Linked DNA regions of Schizosaccharomyces pombe. Changing the gene in region 2 together with the main gene of any one other region gives a genetic interaction. Each region holds a gene or a part of one and is shown on either strand. Other genes may lie near its edges.

Evidence for each region.
Region 1: mutations in rti1 (region 2) and SPOM_SPAC5H10.07 together harm fitness more than expected from each alone (negative genetic interaction), as found in Schizosaccharomyces pombe (one large-scale study listed by BioGRID).
Region 3: mutations in rti1 (region 2) and SPOM_SPCC417.09C together harm fitness more than expected from each alone (negative genetic interaction), as found in Schizosaccharomyces pombe (one large-scale study listed by BioGRID).

What each region holds. Positions count from the first base shown.
Region 1 is NC_003424.3:157,598-160,068, forward strand, and holds SPOM_SPAC5H10.07 (uncharacterized protein), read left to right. Parts: upstream 1-1,605; coding exon 1,606-1,875; downstream 1,876-2,471. Other genes in the region: alcohol dehydrogenase Adh4, read right to left, coding at 1-90.
Region 2 is NC_003423.3:744,292-748,333, reverse strand, and holds rti1 (DNA repair and recombination protein), read right to left. Parts: upstream 2,300-4,042; coding exon 2,069-2,299; exon of another isoform or gene 1,971-2,068; coding exon 1,887-1,970; exon of another isoform or gene 1,734-1,886; coding exon 1,554-1,733; exon of another isoform or gene 1,496-1,553; coding exon 1,243-1,495; exon of another isoform or gene 1,191-1,242; coding exon 1,112-1,190; exon of another isoform or gene 1,067-1,111; coding exon 778-1,066; 3' UTR 600-777; downstream 1-599. Other genes in the region: GTPase npa3, read right to left, coding at 1-140, 197-350, 425-482; protein Mdm35, read right to left, coding at 3,994-4,042. UniProt on the Schizosaccharomyces pombe protein: Active in the repair of DNA damage and in mating-type switching. Probably involved in the repair of DNA double-strands breaks. Has a role in promoting S phase completion.
Region 3 is NC_003421.2:1,690,654-1,696,668, forward strand, and holds SPOM_SPCC417.09C (transcription factor), read right to left. Parts: upstream 3,932-6,015; 5' UTR 3,780-3,931; coding exon 3,433-3,779; intron 3,284-3,432; coding exon 2,863-3,283; exon of another isoform or gene 2,764-2,862; coding exon 2,174-2,763; intron 2,075-2,173; coding exon 1,129-2,074; 3' UTR 566-1,128; downstream 1-565. Other genes in the region: dipeptide transmembrane transporter Dal51, read left to right, coding at 5,073-6,015.

The DNA.
Region 1 (2,471 bases), on a different chromosome or scaffold from region 2:
GCCGCTCATCTTAATTTGCTTGGCGGCTTCAGCAAGACAACCTTTACCGAAAAGGTTGAAAGAAGGTATGTAGAATGCGCTAACAGGCATGGCTTTCGAAGAGGTTGATTGATGCTTTAAGCCATTAGTAAAAGATTGATTACAAGAGGAATGAAAGAGTGACGGAAAGAATCGAGCAGGCGATCGAATTAAACGAAATGGAGAACGAAGAATGGACATGTTAAAAAGAAAATCGCATCTAAAGCTTAACCTCCGATATTTTTTAGAATCAATAATATACAAAGTATGAAAAAAAATAAATAATTAGCCAAACGGAAAAGAAATATGTAACAATCGGTCAAAAAAGTCAAGGGGGAATGAGCCTTAAGTAGTGTACGAAAATTTCTCCAATATCAATGTGTAATCAATTAGTGTCTAAAATTTCGATACTTCCACTCCTTATCTCGCTTAACGAACACTTATCGAACATCGATCTTTTTACAACAATTTCGCTAAATAGATCTGCAGCCAACTCCAACGTCAAATAAATGCTAAGGAATTAAAAGATCTTCAAATGATTTTCAAAACAAAATTGCTTGTCACCAAAACTCTTTTCCAAACGACATCAAATCACCTCCAAACTGTCATTCTTTCCGCCATTATCATAAATTTTACTTACCAAAAAGTAGAAGATCAAATATTTCTCTACCCAAAAGGAATTGGAATATTCTGAAGCGTCTTGAGTATGAAGAGCGCCATTATATACAATTGTCTGAGTAACAATTCCAAGCAATATGAATGGTCACATTCCGTTTCTTTTACCCTCAAGTTGATAGGCAGTAAGTTCGTCGTAAGACATATGTAACATTTTTAGATTCCTGGGAGAACTTTTCCAAAACAAAGCAACCCGAATTACTGCAAACTTTGTGATTTTGGCATGCATGCCATCCAAATGCCAAAAAGTGCGTTACCTTAACGTTGGAACAATTCTCAAAAAGGGTTTTTTTCGTTATTTGACGTGATCGTCGTCGATGCTGATTGGCAGTAAAACCTCAAGATCTTCTAGAAGATCCACGGATTTACCATGTTTATGTGGATCACTGCGGCTCTGTCTCCAAGGGGAATATACGGTCAAAGCAATCGCATTATCGCTGGTTCATCTTCCGGTTCTTCTGGACAATTTTTTTGCTTATCGTAAAATCGGAATGAGAATGACTGCTGGCAACGTGCCTCCGGAATTTTTAGCACACATTGTTTGGCATTTGCGGCGCTGTAAAAATTTATGTTATTGTTTGTAAGAGGAGCATCAGAGCTTAGTTGAAGTGTTGGGATGAATACAAAAGTTTCTGAATTGGTTTGAAAGCGACATCTTTAAAGGGATTTTATACTATTTCACTAAAAATTAAAAATTTCTCTTTGACTCAATGCCCTTTAAAAAAAAATTAAAACTTTTTTATATATGAAAACACTTGGGAATAATTACATGGGCCTTTTTTCATGATGATCGAACAAAGGGGAAGTATGTCTAAGCAATCCTAAATAAGTTTATCGTCAAGTAAAAGAAACACAACGTTTTATTAAGAACTTGTAAATTAACAAGCTCGATCATATCGAAAGTAAAACAGCATGACAGTCTTAACTTCATACAAATTGTATTGTGGGCCGGATTTTCCAGCCCCACTTGAAAAGAAGGAAAAAAGAGAGAAAGGAAAAATACGGAATATTAGTTTTTTAATAGTTTTGACAAAAGGGCCAATCTGGAAGGTTAGTTCAATGGAAAGCACCAGTTATAATGGGTGCATCGAAAACCTTGACTGTAAATTTAGAAAGTCATTCATTGAAGAAATAATAGCCTACGAAGGTTTTGGCAAATATATAGAGGTAATCAATTTTTAAATTTTTTTTTTGTCAAAAAGGAAACATGATTGCAGGTAATCAACATGATCAAATGTACCTTTTTTTTTGGTAATCGAACCCCCATAACCCAAGTAGTAATTAAAATCAAAGAAAGTAGCAAATGATGGAAATGGTCAAACTTGGATTTGATTGTTTCATAAGGTCAAAATTCATCTCACAAATGTTCGTTTTTGTGTTATTTACCAATACATCATTCTCCTTTAAGAGCAAACACCATTGGATGAAGTATTTAAAAATCTATTGACTTTTTAAACCCCATTCTCCTAAATATCTGTTAATCGCCCGATTGTATAGGAAACGACAGCATAGTGAAGGATTGGCGACATAAACTTTAGTATTCGAATGGGCAAACAAGAAAACAAATTCTAACATTAAACTATTTCGAGTGAAAACTATGGATAATTTCATTCAATAAAACGATGGTATTGGAATAAGTGTATTCCTTCAAACAAACTAAAAAGGACAGTAAAAGAAAGTTAAAACATAAAACTTTCACAGCGTCTCTGTTACATAAAAATCAGAGTTGTTAGACACTATAGGTCTGTGGCTAATGGAAACATGACAAGATCACTTGA
Region 2 (4,042 bases):
TTTCTATTTGTCCAGGAGTATCTATCAAAATGTGATCGACTGTTGGTGCACGTTTTTCCAAAATTTTTAGTACTTGATCAAACTTTGTAACAAATAAGTTTAAACTTGTCATAATACCGCCATTTGGCCCCAAGTTATATCTAAATGAATTAGAAAATTTCCCAAAATCTTGTAACTCTGGAATAGACAAACGTACTGTTTCATAACCTCTTTATAATTGATTGTATCACGAATATCGATATTTGCCTCATAGGGTAAATTTCGAACAGCAGGATCCAAGTTTAAAATGTAAGGAGGTTTATTTTTTGAATGAAGGTGTGCATTCAGTTGTTGCATGAAGGTGGTTTTGCCTATTACATGAAAATGATTAGAAATTGCTGCGTTGAGTGCTTTATTGGTTTTTCAATTATAAAAAAATTCATACCTGAACCGGCCATTCCTACAACTATGATGGCACAAGGCTTCTTCTCTTTATCTGTCATTTTGATCTACTTATTTGAACCAAGTGGAAGAAGAGGTGAAAGGTCAGTTCAAAAAACTACTGGGTAACACAAATTGAATTGAACGTCTTAAAAATTCATATTAATTATTCATATTAATTCTGTTTAAAGTATATTAAAAAAATAAATTGATTCATGAACTCGAAAATCGAAATTTTGCATTCAATAGAAGAAAGATAGTTAGTTAAATTCACTGAGACGTTCGTTGTACAGCAATTTATTTCGCAAGCAGTTTAAAAGTTTATACCATTGAACGTTTCACTCAATTTTATTTTTTTTATTTCGTTGAGAACGTGTTTGCAGAGTTGTTTGAAGTTAACGAAGGACGTCGTATAGGCATGGATCTGTTGTGGTCTATATTAGATGATTTTAGTATAGAATTACTCTTTTTGTGCAACTGAAATGCCATTCCCTCGTGCTTTATATGTGGGTTTTCTGCTGCTGCTACACGTGCATTCATAAATTGTACTGGGGGAATCTTGACAACCTGAGCTTCGGTCATTTTATCGTGTGCGTCAATTTTGTCAACAGAAACTTTTTCATCTCCTTCAAATTGGTTTAATAATCTATTAGTTAGTCGGCATTCGCACGCATTGATCGGTCTGTCTTACTCCTCGAATTCTTCTACCCTAGGTGACTCAGGAATAGGCGGGCGCTCGTGATGCATAAGGATGCTGTCCAGTTCTTCATCTATATTTTTATGTTTAGTTTTTCAATTTGGTCATTAATAAATTTTTTATACCTGCGTAAAGGTCTGTTTCTGAATGGCTTTGAATGGGGGGATTTTGCAGAGCTGGCAGACTTTCATGAATGTCATTCTCAATGAGATCTGATATAGGTTTATCCACATTGGAAATTTTCTTCTCTATTGAATTTTTATGTTCTAGCTTAACACTTTTATTTGCATGGCTTTCTATAGGGGTAGATACTTTCTGAGCGAACCGTGCATAGGGTCTTTTGTTTGCGCGTAAAAGGTTGTCGTAGTTGAACTCAGCCTAATTTTGCATTTCTGTCAGCTTAATTATTTTTAAATTTTATGTGTTTCCATATTACCTGGGCAGGTGCCATTTTCAAGATTTTTTGAATATAGCGTTTGTCGTAAAGGCAGTTACCCATGCTACTTCCAAAGTTTCGAAGAGCTCTCTTTAATGCGTCCGTAGTTCCTTCCTTTTTACATTTTTCGTAAGCTAATGCCTTCACTCGACAATTCTCTATAGATCCATATCCAACGTCCTAGAAAAACCATTTGTTAGCAAGAAATTGGCCACAATCTGATATGGAATAGTTAAGAACGAAAAAGTTATGAATTATTTCGAAAAAAATACCATTTGCTATAATTAATTTAACCGGTATCACGAAATATTACTGAGGACATGTTTTGTTTACCTCATGAAAGGAGCCATCCTTTAATGTAACGCGTACAATAACGCTGATTCCAACATTAAACTTTTTCTCTTTCGTTTCTTCTACCTTTTAATAATGATTAGTAAAAATAAATAAATATAGGCTCAAGAATTGATACGATTTGCACTTTTTTCGTAGAATTTTGACGCAAAATTAACACTTACATAATCGACATGAATGTCTTGAATGGAAGAAGACCACCCATTAAATCCAAATATTTCATTTGCGAGCTCAATTGCTTTCCATGCTTCTAAGTATGTAACAGATCCTCCTCCTGGACCACTTCGGCGAGAAATATACTCTGGGCCAAGTTGCATAGCAAGCAGTTTTGTCATCTTATCCTGTTGCGAATCAGTAAACTCTTCACAAGACGATTGATCAGGTAGCGAGCCCATTTTGAAAATGTTTTGGGGATCTTAATTTAAAGGAATGTTAAAAGAAGAATAATGGGTTTTTTATACGCGTCTTTCGCCACGTCACATTTGTTTGTTTACGCGTCTGTAAACATTGGACCTTGACAATTGAATGAACAAAAAAAAAAAAATCTAGCAAATTTAAAATGCAAATTAATAAAAAATCTCAATTTATTTCCTTAAACAAAGGCATGATTTTATAACGCAGAAAAAAAAAGCTTTTAAACATATAAGATTTCGAGAAGATTATGTCTGTTCTATTATACACTAAAAGAACAATTGAGCTTGCTAGTCACTTTCCTTCGACCTTACATTTAAGAACGTATTTGCTTTGTGTTACCAATTTATAAATGCTTGGTACACTCCAGAAAACAAAACAAACAGTAATGTGCTCTATGGTGTGCATAAAATTACTCATGGGCTGCTAGAAAGAGATTTAATTTTTTTAGGCAATTTCTTTATTTGTAAAATGATTTGCTTTGACATGTATTTCTTTAGAGATAAGTATTTCGATTTTTAATATTTTTGTTTATATATATGTAAATACGACTCTTAGGAAAATTATATATAAAAAAACCCAAATTTTCATTAACTAAAAATAATAACAATATTTTCTATAAATAAACTGCGCTGCAGAAGCTAGCAAAAACAAACCTGGTCTTATTAATTCCATCACCCACTCGTTTTTATTGTTTGCCCTTGTGCAATTGCTAGGTTAACGACTCAAAATTTGGCGTAACGCATAATATTTTAGGTAAAAATTTGTTTTTGATTAATAATCTGCAATTAAACTCTAATATACCAATTTGCTACCTAACTATGAAAGACATGTTTTACAAAGGAAATTGACTGCACTTCAACTTTCAGCTTCTTAATACCGTATATCAATTACAATCAATAGTATGAAATTCTCAACAGAACTGATTACTACTGGACTCAGTGTACTTTTGAATACAATAGTTCCAAAACTAATAAAGAAAATACTGAACATTCATGCAAAGCTTTTCCTAAACGTAGAGGTTCGAAATTTGACTTAACAGTTACAAATTTTATTTATTTAAAAATGATAAAAATCAATTGACATTTACAGTATTTTTTTTCATTCATTCAAATTTTTATTGTTTAACTGCGACTGATGTAGTTAATATGTATATGTTATATATTTTTTAGTGACAGACTTGGACACTATGCCTGAGTGGTTAAAGGGACAGACTAGAAATCTGTTGCGGTCTCCGCGCGCAGGTTCAAATCCTGCTGGTGTCGAATTTTTGCCAAAATAATGTTTTTGCATGTCGAAGTGAAAATAGACTAATTAAGAAGGAATACCATTCAATTCTTTGATTATAAGTATATTCTTACAAGTTTTCTACAAAGGTGAGTCCAATGAAAAGATGTTCATATCATTTTACTTAGTATGATCTTAGTCAACTACCCTTTTAGAGAATTATTGGTTTGCCAGCAAAAGGATATGCCGAATCATATGTTCTTAAACAACACCTTTAGAAGTGTATACTTGCTTCATGGCAGAGATATTTCGTTACCTACAATTCTGATAAACTTACAATTGCACAGATGCTTATCACTTTTTCACCCGTTTTAAAAGAAGAGCTTTATTCCATGGTACTGCTATCTTTCAAAGCAACCTTAAAAATCATATATCCAAAGATGCTCTTACTTTAATCTTCTTTGCGTGCTGCTTCAAGAAGAGGATCTATTTTTTTCGTT
Region 3 (6,015 bases), on a different chromosome or scaffold from region 2:
ATCCTATTTTAAGCTCTGAGGAAGCATGATTCCATGACCGAAATATTTGAGACTAAATTGACAAAACTTGACAGTCGAATACTTAGTCATCAAGAGAAGCCTTTTCTTTGGTAGAAAAGTTGAAGAGAAATATACAAAAGCGTTATAATAATTGTTAAATTTTGAGTCAATCAATTAGTTAAATCGTCCAACTAGAAACTCTTTAAGGGAATATTGGCTGAAATAAATTTAAAGAACCTTTATCCATTCCCCTAATGAACGCTATAAAAATCATTTATTACATTATCGAACGTCTACGGCCATACCTAGGTGAAAACACCAGTTCCCGTCCGATCACTGCAGTTAAGCGTCTGAGGGCCTCGTTAGTACTATGGTTGGAGACAACATGGGAATCCGGGGTGCTGTAGGCTCCTTTTTTTTAATCAGTTAGTTGAATTCATTTCTAGTTATTATTTTTCATTCTTGATTGCAGACGCTATCCAGTATTTCCATAGTTATCGTTTACACAAGGAAACTTATATGAGACTGTGAAAGTCAAAAGGACTATACGTTAAAATGATTGTCAATTCAGCTTGTTTATGATACTTAAAATATTGAATTGCTAATATCCATAAAATGAAATAACGAAAATTTCTATCATACTCAGCGAATCGCAACTGTATATGTGTATGTACAGTTTTCTGTTCAATAATTCAACACTCGTCAATTGAAGCCTTTAATTCCTTTAAGAGGGTAATTAGAAACCAAGCTAAAACAATTGCTTCTAATTGAGAACCATTAAAACGGGTTTAATCTAGATAAGACAAAAGGAAAGATACAATAAAGTTAGAAGTAAAATTGTGTTAACAGTTATGCACGTTATGTATTCATTAAAAAATGCAACTGCCTATTTTTTTTATCTTTTGTTTTTTTTTTTTTGGAAAAGGATTTGGTCAAATCAGCATGATTTGATCATATAAAAAAAGGATGCAATGTGACCATGGGAAAAAGGGTTAACTTTCAGTTTCATTTGCTTTAATAGTAAATATGTTCAGTAAGGTAGACCAACTAGGAGAAAAGAATAAGGGTAAATTAAAATATCGACCTTTTTAAAATTCAGGTTTGAGTAGTTTCGAAAGAAAGCCATCATTACATGTCTCCATCGTCACTAGGGAAAATGAAGTTATCAGCGGGGAGTAAAAAGCCAAAACCCTTCGCATCATTGAAAAGTGCCTCTAGTGAGGCATTGATATTTTCATCATTCCAAAGATTTTGTAGGTTGATTTGATTATGATAATCAGCATCTCTAGGGAAGAAAGGCACCTGCGTCGAATAAGCTGGTTCGGTAGCATTAAGCCTTGATTGATATACCTCGCTTTGTTCAGCAAATGCCCGCAAGTTAGTTATGACATCCGTACTTCCTTTTAAAAGTGGAAATCTGTCGGTAACAAAATTCAAAATGTCAATAGCCGTATTCAGTTGTTCGATCGTTTGTTCAGACGGGTTGATTAGAAGATGCACCAGAATGATAAAAGAGGCGGCATGACATGAATGGTAATCCATAAATGAATAGACAGATAGAAATTTGTGCATTCTTAGTAGTACAAGGAGGTCGACAATGTGCAAAGCGGATGAATAGCAGTATGAAATTAACTTATCAGTAAGAAGCCTAGCTCCCTCATCCGTCTTACTATTCATCGTTCTTTCACGAAGCCGGTGTAGTAAGAACGGTCGGCCCATGGCAATTCGAACAATATGATAAGCTAGATGCAAATGAACGATACCTCTGTAAGACCTGCTATCTGGGCCAATGTTTTGTATTTCTAGATCAGGAGACAGTTGTTGGCGCCATGCCTCAATTTCGTTTACAATCTCTTTAATGGTAGCTGCTTTTAAGTTCGCCTTTCCATGTAGCGAGGAATACCACATGTCATAGACTTTATTAGTTAGAAGGGAAATTTTAATAGCTAAGGTGAAGGTCCGGAAGCTGGCAATGAAGTTTTGCGAATCTAAACTTTCACGGTATTCTGGAAAATGAATATCAATTTCGGAACGCACAAGACTCTCGGGCCTGCCCAGAGAAATACCTATTTTTCTAAAAGTTAAACGTTAGCATAAAATAATGAGGAGGAATAATAAAAAATTCTCTTCTTCTTCCCAGACATGAATCTTGGGAAGTTTTCAACAGCCTTACCTTTCCATGCAATATACACTCCAGAAAAGCCGTTTACGAAGTTCAGCAACATCTCCGGAAAATTGAGCATTCGCAGACTTTTTGTGCATACCATTGGCAACAGCAGCTCTCATAGCTATACCAAAGTACATGTATACAACTTCGTGTGCCAATGTTGGAGACAAATACATACCGGCTAGGAAGAAAGACTGTACTGTTTCCAACGACGATTCACTGATGACTTTGGGAAAAAGAAGTTTGGCGTTTTGGTAAAACTGAGAGCCAGGATAAGTCCAACGATCGTGATTTTCATCAGAAAGGAACTCTGGATGGCGAATGTAGGAGAATAGACTGCCCATGGCCATGCTCAGAAGAAGCATACACACAAAACCACCATCTTTTGATTGAAAGGAAGTTGGATCATCGAAAAGATGATGGACTTTTGCAGCAAACAGCTTGGTATTATAATAAAAATGGTTGTTGTCACTAGAAAATTGCCAAAATGTCATAAGTAAATAAAAAGTGATATCCTTTGGGGGTAATGCATGGATTAAAGAGGCGACAGTATTATCGGCGGGATCTAAAATATCTTCAAATGTTTTATTTCCTTTCTATTGAGAAAAACGGGTTAGTAAAGAACAGTAAAATCGATGATGCCCCACAACATAGCAAGGGTATGAAATGAAGTAGATGAATCCATCAATACATACGTTAGTGAGTTTATGCTGCACCTGAAATTCCCTGCCCTGGCAAATGATCTCGTGCACGCGAGCGACGAAGCTTTCGTTAGAGCCGGCATCTTCGTAATATGTCTGTGTCTCATTCAAAGTCACTTGTTGATAGCTTCCAAGTTCGATGTCGGTAAGTACTTTATCAGGATAGGTTTGAAGGCTTTCACTAAGCTCCGCAATCTTTGCTTCCAAGCTGGGCAAATCCAAGCTCATACTTGGCATGAGTTTAGAAAGGATGGTCTCCATATGACTGAGTCTCTGAAGATTGAGAGAAATTTCGTCTTTATTCATAAGCAATCTAGGAGGAGTTTCTATTACGCATTCTAATCCTTTTTTAAGACATCTGCCACAGGGAAAGTTACCGACGCATTTGATTTTATGCTTTTTGCATTCCACACAACTAATATTAGCATTTGAATGAATAGACAAAAAAAAAGTAGAAAAAATAAAACCAAAAAAAAATTGTAAAGTAAGGAAATAAAGAAACAACTACATAATTCAATAGATCAACTAAATAATACGAAAACAATAAATATAGTAATAACAAACAAATCAAGCAACTTTTGGTTGGAATGGCGGCTGATCGAACGCGTACAAACTAAACGTCTTTCAACTCGACCAAAACAACCAGATGCATATTTATTTACATACGCAATAGCTTTTCGAATCCTTTTTGAAGGTGGAATTCGCTCGCCTCTTCTTCTTTTCGGTTTTGAGCCTCCAGCGCTCTTCTTCCCAGTTTCTGCTGTGCTCGCGTTCGCGTTCGCGCTGCTGCTGCCAACAACAACATTACCACCCCTTTCTTCTTCCTCTAGTTGATCCTCCAACTCCATAGCTTCGCTTCTACTCATGCCACTACGACTCCTATCCTCATGGGGCTGCATCCTAGCATGCATGCAGTGAGAATGCAGCGGAACTCAAGCATTTACTATTCTAAGCTATTTATCCAAACAGAAAACCCTCGATTTTTGTGTATGGAATTCACTCCAGCAACTCCAGCTCCAGTTCTCCTCGCTCTCGGAGATCTCGGGGCCCATCCGTTAACAGTGGTTTGCACGTTTGCGTACTCGCCCATTATCTTGGAAATGGCGGCATGCCTAGCAATCCTATCCTGATAGCCCCACGGCTTCCACCGCATTTCCACAATCACTGTGCAATTTTTAGAGAAATATCACTAGCCTTTCTAAATCCGAAATAATGACCTTGATGGATGACACTATCATTTCTTCTTGGTATACCCAGTGTCTTAGTGTATTATATTTCCGGTGGCTATAGCCGACTTAGACATCTATTGCTATCTTGGTGGAATCATATCTAAGCATGGCGAGCGATCAGTACTGTTTTACACTAGTATATGTGGTAAGTGGTGATAAGCTGCGCTATGAGTGCTTGGACGAAAAATTTAAAAAATGAGTTGGGAGCTCGATGTTAGCGTTGGGATGAGGAAAAATCAACGTATGAATGATATGCGTCTTGATTTCCCCATTTCTCATCAAGAAATTCCTGCAAAGTTAGAAATGCAAGACCCAATGTTGGCTCGACTGCTTAGGAAGCGTTTCATTCCATCATTTATTTATTTTATCAAGTATTTACGGTTTTTACGCCCCTGATATCCGATCTTGGATGTTTGTTTAAACGATGAAACTTGACGAATAGATAGGAGACTGACGCATCAACTTTGCCAATTTACCTAACATTATCAAGTTCTCCTATATCTCCGGGCTCAGAAGATCTTTGGAGGAACAATGGGGTAGCACGATATCGGGTATTTAGTGCTAAAACCAGGTAGAGTTGGTAGGTATTGCAATGTTTAATGATAGGTGCAACAGTAGAATTTTTGGTATGTAGGAAAATGTGCGATGCAGTGAACATACTCGAGATTACAAACCGGGTACACCAACCGGAGGGTGGATGCCAGATAACCAAGTCAAGAGCTTGTCTGCCTGGTTTAAAAGGAAGGGATCACCTTGCAATGCTACAAGCCAATTTCATTAGTATATCGATCCTCAATAAGAAAAACAACCCGACTACACTCATTATAAGTGTTGGCGAAAATAGCTTTTACTAAATTTCATTCTCTTTTCCCTCCTCTAATTTTAATTCTTTTTTCTTTTTTCCCTTTCCTTTCTCTACTACTTTTAGACATACTACCATAATCCCGCTTAGATATTTAAGCGCCTAGCGAGAAAATGTCAAGCATCAGTATAGACGAAAAGCTGAAAGATCCCGAGAGTGTCCAAAATAAGGAAATTCTCGATGTCGACGTTGGCGATCTCTCGCCAAAAGGCGTGGATGCTGCTTTCAATTACGCCCTTGATGTCGACTACGATGAGATCGATCCAGAAACGGAGCGTAGATTGGTACGCAAAATCGATTGCACAATCTTCCCCGTCATGTGTCTAGTATACTGCATCCAATTTTTGGACAAAACTTCAAATTCCTATGCCGTTATCATGGGTCTCAAAGAAGACTTGAAGATGGAAGGTCAAATGTATAGTTGGTCAGGTACTGCTTTCTACTTGGGTTACCTTGTCTTCGAATTCCCTGCATCTCTTCTTCTTCAGCGCTTTCCTTTATCCAAGACCTTGTGTGTTTTCTTAGTCATTTGGGGTTTCTTGCTTTGCATGACCTCAGTTGCCAACTATCCTGGCTTTATCGCTCTTCGTGTGCTTCTCGGTATGATGGAATCTGCCGCCAGTCCTGGTTTCATTCTTCTCACTGCTCAATGGTACAAGCGCAGTGAACAACAACTTCGTACTTCCGTATGGGTCGCTTTTAATGGTTTGGGTCAGATCCTTGGTAGCTGCATGGCTTATGGTTTGGCCAAGAGGACCAGTCTTCCCATGAGAGGTTGGAAGCTTATTTTCATTATTTGCGGTGTCCTCGCCATTTTCTTGGGATTTGTCATTCTTGCCGTCGTTCCCGACAATCCTTTCAAAGCCTGGTTTCTCACTGAAGAAGATCGTAAGTTGGTTGTCAAGCGTCTTCGTGCCAACAAGCAAGGTGTTGGTAATAATCACTTTAAATTGTATCAGTTTAAGGAAACCATGCTTGATATTCGTACTTGGATTATGTTTGTCTCATCCGTTCTTTTGAATATTCCCAATGGTGGTATCGGTACATTTTCCTCTC